3 linked regions of the Notamacropus eugenii genome follow. The protein of the gene in region 1 interacts with the protein of each later gene in a pairwise test. Links are inferred from orthologs where the notes say so. Each region holds a gene or a part of one and is shown in the gene's direction. Other genes may lie near its edges.

Evidence for each region. The genes of interacting proteins can lie anywhere in the genome.
Region 2: the proteins of LNX1 (region 1) and PRR13 interact in binary tests that used the Homo sapiens proteins (3 or more experiments, as listed by UniProt). The two-hybrid records come from large-scale screens. The link is inferred for Notamacropus eugenii from reciprocal best matches to the Homo sapiens genes LNX1 and PRR13.
Region 3: the proteins of LNX1 (region 1) and MTMR9 interact in binary tests that used the Homo sapiens proteins (3 or more experiments, as listed by UniProt). The link is inferred for Notamacropus eugenii from reciprocal best matches to the Homo sapiens genes LNX1 and MTMR9.

The regions. Positions count from the first base shown.
Region 1 is NC_092877.1:105,074,743-105,082,478, reverse strand, and holds the start of LNX1 (E3 ubiquitin-protein ligase LNX), read left to right. Parts: upstream 1-4,617; 5' UTR 4,618-4,747; intron 4,748-4,749; exon of another isoform or gene 4,750-4,833; intron 4,834-7,736.
Region 2 is NC_092874.1:226,458,872-226,466,098, forward strand, and holds the start of PRR13 (proline-rich protein 13), read left to right. Parts: upstream 1-4,149; 5' UTR 4,150-4,261; intron 4,262-4,669; 5' UTR 4,670-4,687; coding exon 4,688-4,706; intron 4,707-5,078; coding exon 5,079-5,464; intron 5,465-7,155; coding exon 7,156-7,200; 3' UTR 7,201-7,227. UniProt on the Homo sapiens protein: Negatively regulates TSP1 expression at the level of transcription. This down-regulation was shown to reduce taxane-induced apoptosis.
Region 3 is NC_092872.1:610,944,532-610,952,125, forward strand, and holds the start of MTMR9 (myotubularin-related protein 9), read left to right. Parts: upstream 1-4,516; 5' UTR 4,517-4,661; coding exon 4,662-4,843; intron 4,844-4,994; exon of another isoform or gene 4,995-5,358; intron 5,359-7,594. UniProt on the Homo sapiens protein: Acts as an adapter for myotubularin-related phosphatases. Increases lipid phosphatase MTMR6 catalytic activity, specifically towards phosphatidylinositol 3,5-bisphosphate and MTMR6 binding affinity for phosphorylated phosphatidylinositols.

The DNA.
Region 1 (7,736 bases):
TGCTGTTAACAGCTTCAGTCTGTGTGTGTTGAAAGATGGAGATAACTAGAGACACTGATTTCCCTCCACCCCCAACATCCACAGCTAGATTGCCTCCTAGTTCTACTACAGTTCTCTCTCTTTGACTCTAATTTGTTGTCACAGACCCAGTACAAAGGGGCTGCCTCCAGTAATGTACTGCTAAAGGTTTAGTAAACAGTACTCTGAGAAAAAAAAATGTATACATGACATGCTTTTAAGTTTAATTTGATTTATTCACATTTTCTCCATCCCTTTATTATTCTAAACAACCAACAAAACAATAAAATCAAGTCCTGATTTGTAGCATTTGTCAGTTTCTGATATGCTCTCACTGAAGTTCTAATGAGCATGTCCACACTCTTCATGGGGAAATGTATGTATGATAGGTCTTTTCTCAGGTGTCCATATCAAGTAGACTCCCTTGATCAACTTCCTACATGGGTACAGTCTGATTCACTCATTATATTGTCAGTTCTATGAGGGCAGAGTCTGAGTCAGAGATACTAGTGTTTAACACAAGCTGGCAGACAAGTTCTTCTCCCCTCTCAAAGGGAACACCCTTCCAGTAGCAAAAGAAGTGCCTTTGTTTTTGTAATGAGCATTTGTATTCAGCCTTATTATTGCAAAAGAAGGTACTCAACTTTTGAGCCACATTTACAACCTAGTACTTTCTCCTTTCTTTTAGAGGGATTTCTGTTTTCGTTTTCTTTTTTGCAAGTCTCTTCTCTCCCCCACCCCCCACCCCAATATCCATAGCAGTTTCCAAAAGGCAGAAATGAAGAAAGGGGAAATAAATTTTGGTTGGCGGCAAAATGGCCCAATCTTCATTTGGGAATCTTCTTAAGCGTCTAACTTTCCTGAAAGAGTTTGCAGGCTAGGTCAGTCTGGGCTTGGAATTTTGTCCACCCCAGGGAAAGTTCCTTACTGATAAAATCATGGGTACTAATCAACAAACAAACAAACAAACAAGTAAGTGAAAGTTAAATATCCCGCAGGCATTTAAAGTTTAGATTTGCCCCAGTGTCCTGGACCAGAACTATCCCTCCCCCAATAGTCATTCAGTATGCTCCAGCATGATCTGGATGATCCCAAGCCAGATTGGATTTCAGTTTTAAGGTGGCAAAGTTTAAGGTACAGTCAAGAAGGGCTTTTAATAGTCCTCATAGATATCTCTCTCTCTCTGATATGAAGCACCGTGCCTTGCCTATGGGATCAAAGACTGCCTTGCCTATGAGATCAAAGACTTTTGAAGCAAGAAAAGACCTTAAGAAGTTTTCTGTTCATTTTACAGATCCATCTTTTTGCATTCCCCCAGCTGCTAAATGCTCCCTACACCTCTGGAAATTATCTTGTATACTTAATACGTAGAAATATCTATGTACATATATCTATTCCTATTTATACATGTTTTATCCAATAGAATGTAAGGCAGAAACTTAATTTTTTTTATCCCTAGTGCCTAGTTTGTCTTCAAGTTTTAAAGAAAGGGCTTAATTATAGGGAAACCTAGAGCTCTTAGTGATCAAGTGACCTGCTCAAGGTCACAAAGGTAATGAGTGACAGAGCAAGAATTCAAACCTAGGTTTTCTTACTCAAAATCCAGTAGTACTGTTTCCAGTCCTTCCTTGTTATTCTGTCAGTGATCAATCGTGTCTAACTCTTCATGACCCCATTTGGGGTTTTTCTTGGCAAAGATGCTGCAGTGGTTTGCCATTTCCTTTTCCAGATCATTTTACAGATGAGGAAACTGAGGCAACCAGGATTAAGTGACTTGCCCAGGGTCACACAGCTAGTAAGTATATGGGGCTGGATTTGAACTCAGGAAGATGAGTCTTCCTCACTCCAGGTCTGGTGCTCTATCCACTGTACTTGCCTAGCTGTCTTCCATTTTCCTCACATTAGAGATGGGGCAGCTGGTAGTACGGTGTATAAAGTGTTGGCTCTGGAGCCAGGAAGAGCTAAGTTCAAATCCTACTTCAGACATTTTCTAGCTGAGTGACCCTGGGCAAGTCATTTCACCTCTACCTCCATTTCTTCATCTGTTACATGGAGATAATAGCACTTATCTCCTAGAGTTGTTGCAAGGATGAAGTGAGGCACCTTCAATGTTATATAAATGGTAGTTATTATTATTTATTATTACTGTTAATAATAATATAGTAATAATAAATTAAGGTTCAGAGAGGCAGAGACTTATTCAAGCTTACAGATCCAGGGTACTTTGGCACTCTAGCACAGTCATAATGCCTTCCTACTGTCTAAGGGCACTATGAGGGTCTGAGATGAGAAGGAAACACCTGCCCCATTTAACTCAGAATTGGCATAAAAATAAGATTAGGTAATGTCTACTAATAGCAACTCACATTTGAATAGCACTTTACATTTTCCAGAAAGCTTTCTTCACAACTCTGTGAGGCAGGTGGTATATGTATCTGCATTCCAGTTTTACAGGTAAAGAAATAGAGACTCAGTTTAAGTGACTCCCTAGTAAGTCACAAAACTAATAAATGTTAGAACCAGAGTCTCAAAAACAGGCTTTTAGATGCCAAGTTCGATGGATGCCTTTTCCATTATGTCAGGTACTTACTCTATTTGTTCTATTGAATTGGTTATCATATCGACACCCAAAGTCTCACCTTTTGAAAGGCAGCTGTAGTGGGTAAAGAGATGGTCTCAGTGGCAGGGAGGGCTCTCTCGTTGCTCTAGGCAGCTGTTGGATAGTTACAGAGAAGGTGCCCATATGCATGGGAAAAGGCAATTTTTCTGCTGGGAAGTTCCCAATACTGATGAAATCATACATCCAGTCCAAAAAAAAATGACGCCTTTTAAAATGAGCATTTGCATAAGGGGAAGTACGAGGGAAGGGAGAAAGAAGAAATACTTGAGAATTCTAGCACCTTTATCCCCAAGAGGGCAAAAGCAATTTTTAGAACCACTGTGTTGCAAGGAACCCCCTAAAATTATCTAGGCCATTCTTGAAAGAAAAATAGGCTGCCCTATTTTTCAAGGCCTCCAGGGCAGGAGATTCCACAGTTTCCCCAGGTGGTACATTCCAGTGCATAGTCTAAATTGTTCAAGGATCCTGGAAAGAGGCCACAAAAATATAAAATATTAAAATTCAATTATGAATGAATGAATAAATCCTTGTTTACCACACTCCCTCACATTTGCTCTTTAATATTCTCGTAATAGCCCATTTTGTCATGAGGTAAGTGGCATTACCCTTATTTTTCCTGGTGGAAAAAAGGCTGAATGGCATACAGCCCAGGGTCATACAATAAGCTAGGAATAGAAATAACTTCTGACTCCTCCTTCCTGTCTCTAACTAGCAGGCAAAGTAGCCTTATTAATAGCATTCTAATCTGAATCATTTAAATTACTTGTAATTGCAGGCCTACAAAGAATTGTAACTGCCCCGTGCCAGCTGAGCAAGCTGTAATGGGCATGACTACTGTTACAAACGTCTAAGTCTGTCATTGGAACACAAAAAATGCATTTTCAAAGTTGGAACATCTCATTTGAAAATAGCAGCCCATCCTCCTGGTTAAGAGTGTGGTGCAGGGTCACCCTCCCTCCAAAACAAAACAAAAAATTGGATTTTGAGTCAGAAGACGTGGGTTTGAATTCAAGTTCTGCCAGCTGTCAACTCTAATCCTCAGAGCCTCAGTTTCCTTCCCTGAAAACAAGGAGGGAGGACTACAGGATTTCTTAAAGTTCTTTTCAGCCCTAACATTCTGAGTGAAGTATGAATGAGGTCCAACAAAATTAATTCATTTAACAACACTTTCATGTCTACAATGTGCTGGGCACAGTATGTATGATATTTAAATAAAAAATCAAACAACCCCTGCCCCAGAGGAACTTATACTCTAGTAAAGAAAACAATATGTGCACAGATAAGTTGGTTATAAAACTTATACAAGTAAACACAAAGGTTTTTGGGGTTTTTTAAAGTTTTTATTATTCTATTAGAGATAGATTTCTGGAAAAGAGCAAATGATATCCATTCAAAAAAGCTATTGAATTTCATGGGGTCCTAGAAGTAGAGCAGGAAGATCATTCAGTCCCTCCCTTCCCCATATTTTACAAAAGAGGAACTTAGTCCCAGAGGTTAAGTGACTGGCACCAAGGTCACTTGGCAGGGAGCAGATTTTGGATTTGAACTCGGGTCTTTTGACTGCCTCTTCAGCTAGCTCTCTACACTACTTCAGTTTCTACGCAACCGATCTTCACGTGTGCTTGGGTTAAATCAAGTAAGTTCCTATCACGTTTGGGTGTTTAAATTTCTCGTTTAACTCTTCAGCAGTCAACAGAGCTGTTAACAGAGTTAGGGAGCTGTGTCGTGATGAAAACAACCCAGGAGCAGGCAGGTTGGGTTGTGACTTAAAAAAGAAAGTAAATACCTGACTGCAAATGACTCTAACTGAATAATTCGCACCTGGCTGCAGGTATTCAGGTAAATGACAGGTACGGAGGAATTTACTGACTGGTTCCCTCACTAAGGTCGAAGCCACGAAGATTATCTTTTCAGGGTTCTGTGTGATGTCACACATTTCCTGCTCCAGGCCAACCAATACCATTCATTCTTCCTCCCCGCAGACACCTGCAGAAGGAAGGCAAATGCGGTGTCAGGACGGACCCGACGGAGTTTGATTGACTTACGTGCTAGGGATGCGTGTGCTCTGCCAGACTGTGGCCAGCTTCAAAAACCCTAACACCTGGAAAGGTGAGTTGAAACGCCCATTTTCTCTCTGGATAGTTAGACCACTGGTCACATTGTTCCGAACAGGAAACAGGAAAGAAATTGGCCGAGTGAGTACAACTTTAGTTTTTTCTCAGGAGAGGGGAGCTCCTTCTGGGAGAGAAGTTGGATGCCTAATGGATCTTCTGGTTAAAGCCACATGGCTAACTAATGCTGCCTTTTGAAACAATTAATTCAGCCTCTTCCTTTCTGGGATATTGATTTTTTTTTCCTTCCCTTCCCCCCATAAAACGGAACTGCCTAGGTGAGAGGAGTTGACAGGTATTTGTAATTGGATTTGGAATTGTAGCTTTCTTTAATCTGTAGTGTTAATTTCAATGGGGAGAGGGTAAGTTTTCATTATGCTAATTTCAGGGTGGGGGAGGGGAGACTTTTATAATGCTAATTTCAGTTGTGAGGTGGGGACTGCAGGGCACTCTTAGAATCTGGTCAACTCCCTCTGCATTTAACTTTTTGCTTTTATCGCAGTTCATTTCTACCTGAAATTGTAAAAAATTGTTTTTTTCCTTAAAAGTATTTTCAAAGCACCTCTTGTTTGCCCACTCAATACTTCCTAAGATTGTAAGTTCAGTTTTTCCTTATGTCCCCTCCAGCCCACCCACATCGCAATATTCCTGATCCCTAAACTTTTTTTGAAGAAGGCAAATATTTGATCTTTGTCCTCAATTGTACAATCTGTTGTCACAGGGAGACTGGGATCTGGATTAGAATATTTTATACTTAGCCATGTGTTTACTAAACTTTTAGCTCAGGTAAAATGGATTATCCTTTCTGAGCTTCACAAATGGGGTACAAAGGTTTTTTCTCCCTCTGTGCTACCCACCCCCCTTGCTTTTAACAGCAAATAAACTGTTTAGTAGGTTGTTCTGCCAGGACCTTCCTTACTTTTTTTCCCCTCCTAAATGTAACTTTAGCTCTGGGACCCATTTTTTTTTTGTTTCCTTAATAAAGATCTCACAGCTAGTACACCCTGCAGCCTCACCCTCAGTGTGCCAACTTACACTGGAGGCATTTAGATGGGGGGTGAGGGGGAGAAGAATCTGTGGCGTGCAAGCCACACACAATACTGGGGAGCCAGGGCCTGGCTGTGGGAAATCCAGGCAGAGAAGCAGCACTGTGAGGTGCAACGTTCCAAACTCCTACATCAGCTGTTTTGCTGAGACAAGTTAGCAAAAAAAAAAAAAAAAAGTTTGTAAGGAAGTGATCTGTTAGCAATTATGCTGATAGTCATCCACCCCAAAAGTCAAAGTGCACATTCATTCTCCAAAAGTAGAAATGGAAACAATCTGGGGAAGTTTGTTTCGGACAGAGTAACCTCTCACTGAGCCAAACTAGTCCTGCTGTGGCTGCCAATTCCTCTTACTCCTTGGAGACCACTATTGTTCTCCTCTCTGACCTTTCTGTCCTTTTTTTCTGAGCTCATGTGCTTGGCCGGTGGCTACTGCCTTTGCCTTATTAGAACTGGGATCCAACACAATATCTACCCAAGATGTAACGCATGTGAAAAATGATAAAACCTCTCTTAAGTGGGATTATCTTCCTCCAGTTAACTGTGGTTCAGTAGTACCTTGCTCAATAGTTCACTTCTTTTTTAAGCACTAATATTTGAGCCTTAGTCAAATAATTTTATTTCTTCATCTCTCCTTCTCTCCTCTCCTTCTCTCCGTCTCCCTCTCTGTTTGTCTCTTTCTGTCTGTCTCTTTCTCTGTGCTTGTAGGTATGTATGTATATTAAAGAGGGCAAGTCTATAAGCAAACGTATAATGGGGGAGAAAAGGAATTGTGAGTAGGGAGAGAGAAGGAAAAAGGGGGACAAAGGATAGAATCATAGATTTAGAGTGAAACCTTTCATGCTATCTAGTCTGATGCCCTTATTTTACAGATGAAGAAACTAAGGCCCAGAGATTTGAAGTAACCTGCTGAAGGTCACAAAGATTCAGAGAGAGAGGGAGAGGAAAGATGGAAGTGGGGGTGGGGGAATAAAGTCAGTGCTCAGTGATTGGGATTCAGGGTAAAACATTCTATTCTAGAATGGAGCCAAGGTCATGGTTCAGTGGCTCACTGGGGTAATCTGTACTTTTTTTTTTAGTAGATTGAGGCTTTGCTAAGAGATGGCCATTTAAGGAGTCCAATTTTATTTAAAGTTTCCCTGGGCTACCTGAGGAACTTCATCTAAAGGACTATTGGGAACACAGATTTTAATAATCATGATAGTAATTGTTATTATAAATTGTGAATTATTAAATTCATCATTGATAATTCCCATAAAACCTAACAAAAGAAAGGAGTGAAGCAGAAGCAAGGCTTTTGAATTTCCTCCATAAAGGAGGTTGAGCTGATTGCCACCAAGTCTCCAGCAGAAGGAAGGAACTGCTGTGCCCTGTCTGCTCTGTCCCACCTGCTACCCCCCTTCCCCCCTCTCCTTCCACCCACCCTAGAGAGCAGCAAATGCAGGGCATCCCACAAACCACTGGGCAAATGCTCCATTGTTGTCTGGAGTAATGTGATGGTGACAGAGTTTTTCAGTACAGTTCAACAAAGGTTTCTTAAGTGCCTACCTGGCTGTGAATATTAATCCCAGGAAGATCTCCTATCAAGGGGTTGATATATCTACAAAACTGAAAAATGGCCCTTTCCCTGCCTCACTGGGAACTTCCATTCTACTGAGGGTGGAAAAAATAACATGCAAAAAGCAAACAAGATTGAGTATATCTGACAGAAGAAATTCAGATAAAGTATTATTCTAAGGAAATGTGAGGATCAGAGACCACTTTCAGTTTGGTGGGGCAGGGAAGGCAAATGGGATCAGCCATGCTCTTTCTTGGTCATAGATCTAAAGCTGGAAGAAATCTTTGAGGTTATCTAGTCCAGCTCCCTTATTTTATACAAGAGGAAAGTGCAAACCAGAGAAGTTTAAGGAACCCTGACCCCAAATCCAGCACCCTTTGTGCTGC
Region 2 (7,227 bases), on another chromosome or scaffold:
TAAGACAATTCTTGTCCTCAAGGAATTTCCATACTAACACCTAAAAGAAGAAATGAAAAGGTAGAGGAATATGGTGAGGAAGTTCTAAGAATGAAGAATAACTTGGCTAGGCTCTTCCCCAAAAGGGAGGTTCTGGGAAGAACACATCAATGGGAGAAGGAATGCAACAGAGGCGAGGCCGTTGAGTCTTGGTGGTCAAGTCCAGAGAATGGAGAGTGGCTGGTTTGGGTCCTCCCTCAAAATGGAAAGCCTGTTCTTTGTAGTTTTCCAATATTCACTTTCCCTTGTTTTGTGACTGTTATTCTTTCAATTTCCATTGTTGTAGTCATCACATATTATTTTCATGGTCTTTCTTATTTCACTTTGCATCGGTTCATAGGTCTACCCATGTTTTTTGGTATTTATTACATTCGATGTTTTTTATAGCATGGTAGAATTCTGTTACATTCATGTATAACAATTTGTATAGTTATTTCCCAATCTACTTTGTTTCCAGTTTTTTGCTACCACAAAAAGTGCTGCTATTGATATTTTGGGGGGTAAAGGATAGGCAGATATTCCCTTAAATCCCCTGATTTAATCCTCCCATACTCTTCACCTCCATCACACACCAGAATACTCATACTTGATTTAATCATCAGTCATAAATGTTCCATGACTCATAGTAAGTACTCAATAATTAATTAATATTTAATGATTAACACTATTATTAATTCTAACTATAGTTAATAATTAATTGGCATTGATTAGTGACATAATAATTGCTTGCATAACTGAATTTACTTGAGAGATGATGGACACAAGGTATGCGTTTTTGGACATGGACACTGAACAAAATTCTTTTGCTTGACTATGCTTACTTGTTACAAGGCTTCTCCTTTTTTCTCTTGGTTAATTAGGGGGCATAGGGAAAACAGGAGTTAGCAATAGTAATGTCCCCCCAAAATGAGGCCATCATATCATTTTTTAATGCAAAGAAGATAGTTCAGAAGAAAGCATACGCAAGTGAGACAATTTTGAAAATAACATGGAATTTATTACCATATATATTGTTTAAAAAACAAACCATATGAAATGGTGATTCAGCTTCATACAGAATCTGTGTGTGTGTGTGTGTGTGTGTGTGTGTGTGTGTGTGTGCGTGCGTTTATGAAAGTGCTATGTGGTGTAATGTGTATAAAAATGTTTCGGGGGGGAAAGTTTACATTAAAAATTTGAAAATAAAGTTTTTAAAAGAATTAGATTAAGTTGAATTATACCTTCTCTAAGCATAACTCTGAAATTCTTCTATGTCATTATAACTTCTTATCTGGCCATCTCTCCTTGTGCCTTATCTTTCCTGAACCCAGTCTCCATCTTCAAGACAAATTTCAGATACTCCAACCCTTCTGCTTTCCAACCTCCCTTATTCCCACCCTGTATTTCCCAGGCCATTATTTCTACTTTCGTCTTACTTTCCTCCCTTCTGAACTGAGCTGCTGAACTGAGTGGAAGTCCTATCATCCTATTGAATGGATCTACTACAAATTTAGGCCATCTAATCTCGAGTGGGCCTCCCCAGGGCACACCAATCTGTTTTCTCTTTCCTAATTGACTCTTCATCAAACTCCCCACAGTATTTCTTTCAGCCTTCATCTTTTTTCAAGCCACCTACTCCACTGCCTTCTCACTCTTTAACTACATACCTCACTTCACACTTCTACTGAAAAAACTAGGCCATGAGTCATAAAAATCCCTTTCCTTTGATTGCAATTGTGAATCACCTGGACTTCATACCCTATTGTCCCTTCCCTCCTGTCTCAGAGGAAATAGAGGCCTTAAGTCAATCCCTACTCATTTCTGCCAGTAGATTTCCCCTTCCATTATCTCTCCCATCTCCCAAAGGTTCTATTTGTCTTTACTATTGGTTTCCTTCCCTGCTGCTTATATGTAAGCCCAGATCACACTAATCCTTAAAAAAATTTAAATTAAATTTAAAAAACCACATCCTCAAGCTAACATCCTCTATCATTCCTCCTATTCACAGCCAAACTCCTAGAAACAAGCTGTCTACACTTTCTGTCTCAACTTTCTCATCTCCCAATTACTTAGAAACACTCTGTAATCTGGCTTTGAAACATACTACTCAATTAAAATTATGCTCTCCAAAGTCACCAGTGATCTCCTTATCTGAGGTTTTTGTCTCTTCTCATCCTTCTTGACTTCTCTGTCACCAAATGACATTATTTACTCCTCCTGGATTCATTTTTCTACTTGGATTCTTTTTTTTTTTTTGACAAAGGTAACTTATTTTTCTCTTACCTCTTTGGCTGCTCCTTCTCAGTATCCTTTGTAGAATCACCCTTTATGCCCCACTCTCTATGTATGGGAATACCCAAAGGCTCTCTCCTGGGCCTCCTTCTCTACCTTCTTTTTCTTTTTAATTTCATTGTCTCCCATGGGCTTGACCTACGCTTTTCTGAGAATGATGCCCAAATTTACATATCCAGTACTCATCCCTCTCTCCTGATCTCTAGTCTCCTTATCTGTAAAATTCAGAGAAGGCAGCTAGGTAACACAGTGGATAAGAATACCTTATACTGTATCTGTAGCTAAGAAGATTCGAGTTCAAATTTTACCATAGATCCTGGCTGTGTGACCCTGGAGAAGAACTTTTCTCATCTGTAAAATGGGGGTAGAAATAGCATCTCAATCTCCTAGAGTTATTGTGAGTCTCAAATAAGGGCTTTATAAACCTTAAAACATCATCATCCCATAGAGGGTTGTATATTATTACATTAGAGGCCACCTTAGATGGCTTCGAAGGTCTCTTCCAGTTCTAATCTATGACTTTATTTGAGCAAGACAGAACCGCTGCTGGGCCCAAAAGACTAGGACACTTGACCCTGGCCCTTTGTGGAAGGTGGGGCTCACCTGCTCTATGTACAGGCTCCAGTGGAGGAGTCCCACTTCTAATGAGAAAGGCTGGGACCTCCTTTCTCATACCCTTCAGCTCATTACACTGGGGGGCTCCAGGGACCACTTACGTACAACATAGGTTCGGTTCATATCTAGGGTCTCCACAAAAGGGAGGGTAAACAAAACCATCCGGCGTGCACTCTACAAGTGTTTATTTCCCACACACAGAAGGCTGCTAAACCCAGCATCCATGTGCGCCCAGTGACAGGCCTGGGAAAGGTCAGTAGGAACCCCGCTGCTCCCCGGGAGCTTACCGGGGAACACGCCTCTAAGGGAAGGAGTTTGGTGAGGAGTCGTTTTACCTTTTGCGTTGCTACAAGGAGAACTTACCATATATTTACAAGAAAAGGCAAGCGGTGCATACTGGAGACCCCCAGTGCCAGGCAGGATTTCTGCGGTGACACCTGCCCAGGACCATGGGCACGCCACCCTCTCCTTTTCGGAGGGGATGTCTCGGGACGTGTTATCGGGAAGGTCCATTTTATTTGGTGTTGGATGAGTCCATGGTTTTAAACAAGGAAAAACTGTCATTCCTGGGGGAAGGGCCAAAAGAGGGTCTTCGGCTCGCAGGGGGTCCAGGGGGTCCTTGGGTGCTGCGGGGTCCGCGTGCCAGCTCCCTTTTCCCCTCCAGCGCGGTCACTTCTCTCCTGTGGGCCAGGCAGGCCAGGCCTGGAATGCCTTCTTCCTCCCGGACCTCGGCCCGGCTTCCCCGGCCTCCTTGCCGGGGGCTCGGGGTCCCCGGTTGGGCCCGCTGACTTCGTGCATGTGCGCGGCTCTTTGCACTCTGCCAACCCCCTCGGACTGGGGCAAAGTATACCAGCCCCGCCCCAAGCGCTTGACACAAGGCCTGGCATACAACAAGCACTCAACTAGTGCCTTCATCGGGCGGGAGTCCCGAGGTTCCCGGCCCAGGCGGGGCCTCGGCTCTCAAGGTCTCGCATCCCAGACCAGCGCCCCCCGCCCCACGCCCTTGGCACCCGCTGCCCGGGCTCGGGGGCAGGGCGGCGCGCATGGGCAGGACTAGGGCCGGGTGGGGCCCTGGCCCCGCCCCCAGGAAGAGAGACCCCACCCGAGGCCCCGGAGCTCGGGCGGACACGGCCCGGTCCAGAGACAGTTTCCCCGGGTCCGGCACGCCCCCCGGAGATCGACGGGCAGTCTGTGCAATGACGAGGGGAGGGCTCGGCCCCGCGGCCAATCAGACAGCGGAGGGGGCGGAGCCACCGGGGAGGTGGGGACCAGGAAGCAGGCGCCGGGAGGTGCGGGGAGGAGAAGGGAGAACTCCGGCTCGGGTGGAGGCGACGAGGTGACGGGGTCTTCGGGGTTCCTCCTTCCCTTCCTTTCCCCGGGCGGGGGGCACGTCCGCCGGGCCTCCCTCCCAGCGGGGCAGGGCGGGCTGGGAGAGTCTCTCTCGGCGCTTGGAGATCCTTCTCCCTCCTTCCCCTCCCCGCCGAGGCTCTTGGCCGGGAGGCAGACCCCCCTCCCTCCTGGGGCCCCTCCTCTCCCCGCCCAAGGAAAGGGGAACCCCCCGCCTAGCTCCGGGGAGGGGAGAAGGGAGCCCGTCTGCCCCTAAGTGAGCGGAGAAGGGTGCCCCTGGAGTTGGGGGGGCAGGGGATCCGCCCCGGACCGCTGAAGTGGAGGAGGCTTGTGCCACCCGCCCTGCCCCCTCCGGACTGCCAGCCTTTTTTCTTCCTTGTTCCTTGTTCCCCTCCAGGTAACAGAACAGTGCAGCATGTGGAACCCCAGTGCGGGTGAGTGCTCCCTTTACACACCCCCCGCTCTTTCTATCCTTCTTTTAGAGGAGCCTCACGGGGGTGGGGAGGGGTGGTCTTCCTGTGCCCATTTTTTCCCTCCCATAGTTGCCAGTTAAGGCAAAAACTTGACCTCTCTTTTTCCTTTTGCCCCCAACACCCAAGCCTTCCCTCTTTGGAGCTCATTTCATTTTCTCTTCCTTCCCACCGGAGCTGGCTGTCCTTTTCTCTCTATATGCCCCCCTTTTTCCTAACCTCCCCACTGCCTGAAGGAAGAGGGGGCACAGGAGGTACCAGTCCCTTCTCCTCCACTTGTAAGAGGAGCTAGACCTTGCTGCCACTATCTTATTCTGTGCTTCTCTCCCCATCCAGGGCAGCCAGGGATGTACCCTCCTGGGGGTCCTATACCTCCTTCAACTTCCGGGTGCCCTGGGGTTGCCAACCCCATCAACCCACCATCAATCAATCCTGCATACCCTCCAGGTACCTGTCCTGCCCCACCTGGGTGTTTCCCAGGTAATCCAGCCTATCCTCCTGGCACTGCTTTTGGCCCTGGGCATCAGCCAGGATACCCAAGCTGCCCACCCCCAGGTCCCTACCCACCTCCAGGTCCCTACCCACCTCCTGGCCCTTGTGCGCCTTCTGTGAATCCCTTGGTCCCAGGGATAGTGGGGCCAGGTATAGTGGTGGATAAGAAGATGAGGAAGAAGATGAAGAAGGCTCATAAGAAAACGCATAAACATCACAAACATGGCAAGGTCAGTTTCTCTGGGAGCCCTGCTGGGGTTGGGATGGGGAGCATTTCATCAGAGTCTCAGGGACACAATTAGATGGCCACGCCAGTCTGGATTTGCCTTCTCTGTTGCTATCCATCCATGCTGTGGGTGTAGACTAGCTACACACACACACAGAGCATGCTGGCCTTACAAGCCAGAAATAGAAACTGGGTTAAATTCTGCCTCATAATACTTCCCTAACTCTCAGTCCCTTCATCCCTTTAAACCTCCATTTCTTGAGGAAAATAAAGTGGTTGGTATAGATATTCACTGAAATCCCTTCTTTTCAGCTCTAAACTTAAGTTTATGGATCTTTGGCAGATATCTCAGAATTTCTGGGGTTTAATTGCTTCCAGTTGAACAGGATTAGTGATCCATACCCTCCCAGAATGCTGAGGCATAGCTATAGATATATACATACATATGAAAGGACTTGGGAATCTTGGATGGGGTTATGACCACCAAGCCAGTGGGTTAATTAATTTTGTCCTTTGACTCTGTAACTGAACACCTGGAGCTAGGCTCCTATCTCCTCTTGTGTAATCTAAAGAAAGCTAACTAGAATTGGAGCTTAGAGAAACCAGAATTTGAATCTTGGCCTTGGTCCCTTACTGGCTGTGTGGCTGTGGGCAAGTTCTTTAACTTCTCTGAGCCTTTGTTTCCTCATCTGTAAAATGGGGTTAAAAATAGCTACTCCACTTCCCCCATGGTGTTGTGAAACTCAAATGAGATAAAGAATGGGAAGTACTTTATGTACCTTAAAACCTTATTGACACATCATGATAACGATAATGGGCCTTGGAAATTGAGACTTCAAAGAATTGAATGACTATTCTGACATCAGGGAGCCAGGCCAGAGTAGTCTGGGAATCCAGGATTTCTGATCTCTAACCTTGGGGGCACTGATCATTCAAGTACAGTGTTCCTTAGAATGGAACTGAGCAGGTCATATGACTATACAAAGAGCCTAAGTCAACCTGGGACAAGGAAAGAGAAAGGGTAGAAGGTGATGGTTATGGGGCATGTCTAAATTCACTTCATTCCAGTGATAGCTGGGATGCTGCAAAAAAGGGAGAGGTAGAAACTATTGGAGGACAACTCAGGAGCAGCAGTTGGAAAATAAATGTTTACCATTGCTGATAAAGTTGCTGTGCATGCAGGCAAACCAGATTAGATAGTAATTCACAATTTTATAGTACCATAAAGCTTGCAAAGCACTTAATGAGTCTTATTTTTATCCCTCAGTACTTTTGCCTAGGTCTAAGTTACTTAAGAGTAGGGGTCATTTTCATTTATGTGGATTGTCTGTACTGAAGGTGCTGGGGGCTATTCATTGCTTCAGTTATTAACATTTATTTGCCAATTCCTATGCCTTCCTCAAAGAGGTTTTCCCATTCATGAAACCCTTTGACTGAGACACCTTGTTTCAAGCAAAATTATTGAAAAGTCCCTGCAACAACGTGGGTTGGTTTAAACTACTGTTGTGGCATTAATTCCAGGGGGAGAAACTTATTTTCAGTCTGTCGGTGACATTCCATGTGTGGGTTATTGGTCTTAAGTGCACCTTGTATGGGAGGGTACATATTAGAGAGATGGGGAATGGGGTGGGACTTCATGGGGTCAGAGTTCAAAGTCTGATAATGTGTCCTCTCCACTTTCCCATTCCCCTGCAGCATTCTTCTTCCTCCTCCTCCTCTTCCAGCAGTGACTCTGACTGAATCCTGGCCCTCTTCCCCCCAAGTCAC
Region 3 (7,594 bases), on another chromosome or scaffold:
TAATACTCCCCGTAGACCTGGACCCCAAGTGTTCATTTGCTTGGCCTCAGTCTATAGTAGATATAATTCTCTTGAATTAAGTACAGCAACATCTTGGCAAGCTGGATGGAAAGCATAATGTTGTTAATTCTAGCCTAACAAAGACCAGATTGTAAGCTCCATGACAACAGAACAGAATAGTACTCACATTTGTTGCTTAATAAATGTTTGTCGACTTGAATTCAATTCTCCTTTGTATGCTATTGTCATCATCATAATCATCATCCCTCACTTTGGACAAGCTTTCAGTTTAAAAAAAATCACAAAATTAAAAAGCACTACAGAAAGTTTCTCTGATCTGAATATTATAATGATGATGCTAGCCTATTACATTTGTGTGACATTTTATTGTTACAAAGCACATTGCAGATGTCATCTGATTTAATCCTCAATACCATTAGGTAAGTAAGATATATTGTGACTCCTTTATAGATGAGGCAACTGGAGCTCAGAGAGAGATCAAGTGATTTGCCAAATGTCATATTGCTAAGGCAGGTTTTCTTACTCCTTTCAAGTTGAATGTTCTTTCTATGATGCTTCCTTCTCACAATAGAGCATCTATCTACCTATTGTACTTACTCCTCTATTTTCCCTTCTTAGAGTCTCTTCTCCCAAACACTCCTTGTTTTGAAAACAACTAAAAAAAAAATCTGTTGTTCCATCCCTCCCATTGTTTTCTTCTTCTCTGAAACAGCAAGCTAGGGTACTGATTATTTGAGGCCTCTAAGAATCAATTTCATAGCTAGAGATAAAATGCTCTATAGAAACAAAACCTAAAAGGTAATTTTAAAATTAATTATTTAACCTACCTGTTTATTTTTACAGAATGAATGTGCCTTGTCCTAGATAAAGCACTAGCTTGGGTTAGAGAACAGGAGAACAAGCAAGAGTTTAGCATTGTTTGGCATGCAGCAAACTATGGCAATTATACCTATGTAGCCAGTAGGAGGTCCTTTGGGCACATTTTACAGTCCTTCAGGGAAATCCTGGAGCAGTACTCTGGGGCTACCTGGAACACAAAATTTTAAGTCAACAATAAACCAAGTATTTATTAAGAACTTTCCATGAGTCAGCCACTGTAATAAATGATGACACGAAAATAGTTCCTCCCCTGGAGACGTTTACATTCCAAAGGAGGAGACATTATATAAACAACTATGTACATTCAGGATATGTATATAAGGTAAATTGGAGGTGAAGACGCTAGCAGTGAGGGAGAACAGCACAGAAAAAGTGTCTTGTACAAGGTCAGAGATGAGCTGAGATTTGAGGGAAGCCATGGGAGGCAAAAGGAAGAGATAGGAAGGGAGAGCCTTAATTCCAAACAAAACAAAGCAAAGCACTTTGTTCTTTGGGTTCAGGTACTTAAGAGTACACATATATGTATAAAACCCATAATTATAGAATATACGATTTCTTCTGATAAGTAACACAGGCAGACCTTAACACAGGGTACAATGTTTAATAAGCAATGATGCCCTATAACCTATAATCACTGGTTCAGCTATTCAACAAAATGATAAAATCCATTAGCCAACCTCAGTCTTGCTGAGTCTCTCCCTGACACCTCTGAGAGTAATGCAATCACTCTGAAGTTTGAATCCTTTGAAGATCGGATATCTTGCCTCTCCAGGTAACAGGCTCCTGAAAGTATCCTTAGAAAAGAGCTTTTCCAACCCCCTTCAACTTTACCATTGAGGAAAATGAAACTCAGAGAGATTAACTAATTCACCCAAGGTCCCCCAGAATCAGAGCTAGAACTCCATCCTAGCTCTCCAGATTCTAAGTTCAAAATGCTCCCATGAATCATGATAACAAAGTCACTTCCACATGAGGCCCATTTTAGGTGAGACCAAACAGATATGTTCTTCTCCAGAGAGAAACCAGCAAAAATGTTTCTACTTGTTTAAATTTGGCCAGAAGGGAAAAAGCAGTAAAAAGGCAAAAAAATGTATATGTGTTTGTGATAGGGATTATCAACCAGATTTGAGGCTGCCAGGAACTAGCAGATGGCTGCCTGAACTGAGGAAGACTGCCTAGCTCCCATATATCTTTTCTAGCAAAAACCTGAAATTTGCACCAAACTGAAAAAATGATTATAAAATCTAATGAGAAACTACAATAAGTGACTTATTCTCTCAAAACTATACAAATAGCCATCCAGAAACTCATAGGTAATAGGAAAGGGGAACATTAGCAAAACCAGTACCAGCAGAGGCAAACAAGCCGGTGGCCTTCCAGTGTTGCCAGTGAAAGTACTGTGTGCAAAGCCAGCAAAAAAAGAGGAAACCCTCCCAAGAAAGCTTTGAGTTGTCAGAAAGCCCATGGAGGGTCAGAAAAGAGCAGGAACCTTGAAAGTCATCAGGCGTGGCAGTGATGGGTATGATACTGATACTCAGACCTCCATGGACCCCTAGCATTGTATTCTGCTTTTCCAAATTGGGTCCAAAAGATCCAGAATCCAAAAGATCTCTGAAATCTAAAGATGGGGGGGGGGGGGGGGGAGGAGGCTCTAAGCCCAGGTGGTAGAGGACAGCACAGGATCCAGGGAACATAAGGGAACAACAAACAGAGCCTACAACCTCACCCAAAAGCAGAAGGGAAGAGAGGATGACTCTTGCACAAAGCTCTAATTCAAGTACAGAAGTTGGACAGATGAATGAACCAAAAAGGACACAGATCAAAGAAGAGAGAGATAGAATATAAAAAATTACTATAGATCCAGAGATGCTCTCCTATCAAACTTGTAAAGAGAAAGTCACAACACAAAGTATGCAAATAAAGACTCAAAGAGAAAAATGAATTTTCCAAAATGATAATGCAAATATCTAAAAGAAAGAAAGACATACAAGTAAAATAAAAAGGTCTGAAGGAAAGAATTGAAAAGAAAATAAATAACTTAAAAAAGAAAATGGTAAACCTTCTCCAAAAAATGGACTCCCTGAAAACTAGGATTGACCAATGGACCAAACAGAAATCAATGACTCCACAAAACAGCAAAAAATATTAGAACAAAATCAAAAAGTTGGGGGGAAAAAGAAGAAAATGTAAAGTATCTGATATTTTTCAAGTGATTTGAAAAACAACCGACTTGGGAAATAGGTCAAGAAAAAGAATTTAAGAATTATTTGACTCTTTGAAAATCATTTCTTTTTAAAAGCTAGATCCTGTATTTAAAGAAATGAAAACCACTCAGAGCTCTTGGAAGCAGGGGGCAAAATAAAGTTAGAAAGAATCCTTAAAGTTATCCTAAAAAAAAAAAAGTTCCAGAACTTTGGCAATGTTGTTGCCAAAAAAAATAGTTGCAAGCATCCAGAAAGAAATACTTGTACCAAGGAAAGGTAAGCAGAATTGTACAAGACCTGGCAACAAGAAGGAATAGTGGGATACAGCATTCTAAAAGACAAAAGAGATGGGGTCACAACAGAGAATAATTTACCCAGCAAAGCTGAACATACTCCTGGAGGAGAGTGGGGAGGGATGGGGCTTCATTGGACTCGATTTTCAACCATTTTTGATGAAAAAACCAGAAGTAGAAATTGTGAAATACAAACAAAAGAATCCAGAGTAACCTAGAAAGGCAATTTAATTTGAGCAACTGGAAGAGGACGTGCGGAATTCATGACACTTTTTCAAATCAAGAATAAAAAAAAAGCACGCGAATGACATTGACAAGGCTCACGTGCAACCTCTTTAATACGAAGGGCAGGGGTGGGGGAGGGGTGGGAAGAAGCATGTATTAAACGCCTACTGTTTTCATTTTTTTTTTTTTTTTATCCAACCCTGCGGGGTGGTTACTCTTAGGATTCTCATTTTACGGTTGGGAAAATGAGAGTGAAGCTCTTTGCCCAGGGTCTCCCTGCTAGCTTTGGAACTCAGGTCTCGCCGAACCCAGGTCCGGCGCACTTAATGCCAGCTCCTGATGCCCCCTACAGGAAGTTATTCTCTTTTTCACTGTACCGCATCAGTCCTCTCTGGGCTTCAGTTTCTAGGGTTGGAGCAGACGACATTTAAGCCCTCCAATCCGCAGGCGCATGTTTCAATCACGCGCGATACGACCGTTGGCGTCACCGCCCGAGCTTCGCACCGTGGGCGGCCTCAAGTGGGCGGCCCCGTTATTCCGGGGCTGCTGAGGCTCAGGGGAGTCAGGGTGGCAGGGACAAGACTTCCCACTTACTTCCTCCCATCGGGCATGAGATGGGTAGGAATTTAACTCTGAGGGCACCGTTTCCGGTCACGAGACTCACAAACCTGGTTTCACAACTTCCGCCCGGAGTCGACGGAGGGCTCTGAGCGTCAACTACTTCCTCCCGGAGTCGACCGAGGGTGCTGGGCGTCAGCTACTTCCGCCCGGAGTGGACAGCGGCCAGGAGATGTGCGGGCCTTGAGATCCCGGCTCCTTCCCAGCCCCCCGGAAGAGGACCCTCCCCTCCCCCGGGTCCCCTCAGACGGGGTTGCCGGGGGAAGCAAGCTGGTGGCCGCTTGAGACCCCGGCTTGAGCTTGGTGCGGGAGGTGGGACCCTCCGGACCAGGCCCGCGGGGCCGGCCGCCGGGGGCTTGAGAAAGCAGGGGAGAGAGGACGGAGCAGGCCCCGCCGCGCCTGCCCCGGGCCCCGGGCCGAGATGGAGTTCGCGGAGCTGATCAAGACTCCGCGGGTGGACAACGTGGTGCTGCACCGGCCCTTCTACCCGGCCGTGGAAGGCACGCTGTGCCTGACGGGCCATCACCTGATCCTGTCCTCCCGGCAGGATAACACCGAGGAGCTGTGGCTGCTCCACTCCAACATCGACTCCATCGAGAAGCGGTGAGCCCAGCTCGGAACGACGGCCCCTGCGGGCCTCGCTTGCCTCGTCCGTTACCAGGGTCAGGGGCGGGGCAGGCTGGTCCGGGCGGCCCTTTGTGAGCCCCCCACACTCCTGCCCGGGTCTATTGTCCCTCTCTTTGTATTCCCTGGTTTAACCCGGGGCTGAGCCCTGAGTCGGCGTTTAGTAAGAGTTCCTTAATGTGTTTTAATCTCCAGCCTGGAACAGACGGAGAATGCTTAAGAAACGAGGGAGTAGTTTTCCCCCTGTCTCCAAAGCAGCTTCTGCCTTCCTGAAGACCCTCCTGAGGATCTGGATTGTAGGAAAGGGGGGAAGCAGGAGTAGTGGCCCAAGAGGGGAGCCTCGTCCTAGGCCACCTGCTGTCCCAGCCATCCGTTACTCCGAGGCATAGCTTCAAGTGGTTCTTTGTTAACTTGAATCGTTTGGGATCATACACCAGGTGTCTTTACCTGTTGTAAAATTGAGATAATAATGCTTCCTCGCATACATGTCTACGGTAAGGTAGGATCTGTACACTGCTTTTGACAGCTGAGTGAGACTGGAGCTTTGGCTCTTTCGGTTCTAAGACCTGTCTGAGCCATCCTCTGTCTCTTGTGTTGGGTTATCTTGCTCATCCTACCACTTGACTAGCCTTTTATGCCCCCAAGGCGTAATGTTTATATTTTTAGTTTTATAGCTTTAAATTTCCACCTGGATAGCTAGTTGATATTAACTATGCCTACCACTTCCCTTTTTTGTCCTGGATCCTCTTTTCTTTTATCTTGGTCAGCTTATCAACTCCAGGAGGTTCAATTATCCTTTCTAGCTTGACCAGTCTCCAGTATACAACTAGCTCTAACTCCTTCATTGGACTTCAGTCTCACATCAGCAACTCCCTACTGGACATTTGGGACTGGATAATCCATAGACATCTCAAACTCAGCCAAAACATTATCATTATTTTTCCTCCTTCCCATCCTCCAGTCTTTAATGAACTTTCTCATTTCTCTCAATGACACCACCACTCTTCCGGTCATCCCAGTTTAAAATCTGAGACATCCTTGACCCCTCACTGTGCCTTCCTCCATTTATCCAGTTAGGTGCCAATTCTTATTTCCATCTCCACAACCTTTCACATCTGTTCCCTTCTCTCTGTTACTAGTTCAGGCCCTATATCTTCTGGATTCTTGGTAGCCTCCTGATCAGTTTCTCCTTTCTTCAGTCTTTCCCCTCTTCAAACTCAATAGAAATTGATTGATCTAGAAAACCATAAGTGAACATTGTTTATGTTGTATTTTTATTTCCCAATTTTTCCAATTCCCAATCCCAACATTTCCCAATTACATTTTAATCTGGTTCACTCATTTGATACCTCTGCTCTACACAGCCACTGAAATACTATTCCTAAAGCACTTTGTCACTTCCCTTTCCTAAACTCCAGAGGCTCTTTTTTCTCTGTAGGATCAGTAAAGTCCTTTGGCTTTTAACTTTGTATCCTGGCTGCCTTTTCTAGACCTGTGGTATCTAACTACTCTGCACATACCATCTACAGTTATTCCGAATTGCTTTCTTGTTCTTTACACAGGGCAATCCATTTCCCATCTTCTAGCCTTTGCTCACTTTGTTTGTCACTCTATCATTAGGTGAGATAATATGGTCTTTATAGTCAACTACTTCAGCTTTCACTGAAAGAAATAGGTCTTCCCTAATAGGTTCTGCCCTGGGCAGAATTGTGAAATAGAGACAATTTAGGTCCAAGTCACCTCTCACTTTTGCAGTCTTCAGCCTAGCTGTCTTTAAAATTGTCCCCTCTTGGACTCAGAAATTAGACTTGTAGAATGTTGGAGGTGAGAAGGACCCCAACTCCTTCATTTTGCAGATGAGGAAACTGAAGCTCAGAGAAAGGAAGCAGTGTGCACAACTAATACTGACTAGCTGTCTGGGAGGAAATTTAAATGTTTGACAGCAGCCTGATGTGTCCCACATACAGGGAACACTTAGGTTTTAAACCAGGATTCTTAGAAAGGCGGTGCCTTAGACAAATATCTAATGGGGAAATTTCTGGTGGGAGAACTTAGGAAGGCCTCTTTTCCTTCAGATTAGTAAAGTGGTTACTCAGTAGACCTTGTTTCCCAATATAAATGGTTGTAACTTTTGTCCCTGGCCTTTTTGGTTCTTCACCTCAAATATTTATCACTTGCCCCAAAATTGAGTGCCTGTGTGTCTGTGTGTTAGGGCTAGGCACTGTGGTGTTTGCAAAGAAGAGATATAAAGACTTTCTACTTTTTCTGCACCCACACAAGCTCTTCAGCTTATATTTCAGTAGAGGAGACAATGTACACAACTCACACAGCCTTATTTCAATCCTCCCTTTCTCTTTACTGTCATGGCTATTCTTATTACTTTGCCTCTCTGAATGCCTTTAGTTTTTCTTCGACCAGCCTTCCATTCAGAAAGAAATAAAAAAGAATCATAAGCCCCAAACCATCACAATGGAAACATTTTCCCCCATGTCCCTTGTTATTTTTTACATTTGATAAGAGGTCTAACTTTATGTCTGTCAGATTCTTTTATCATGGTTGTATTTGAATTCCATTAATTTGCCTAAGTGACATTGTCGTTTCCCTTTTTTTGTTTTGCTCTAGATCTGTGATTTCATCTGTGTGGAAACACCTTCCACTGATGAAGATCTTCCAAAAGTAGACTTTGAACTCCATTCAAAGCTCTAGAGAAGAGTATTGAGATCCTAATAT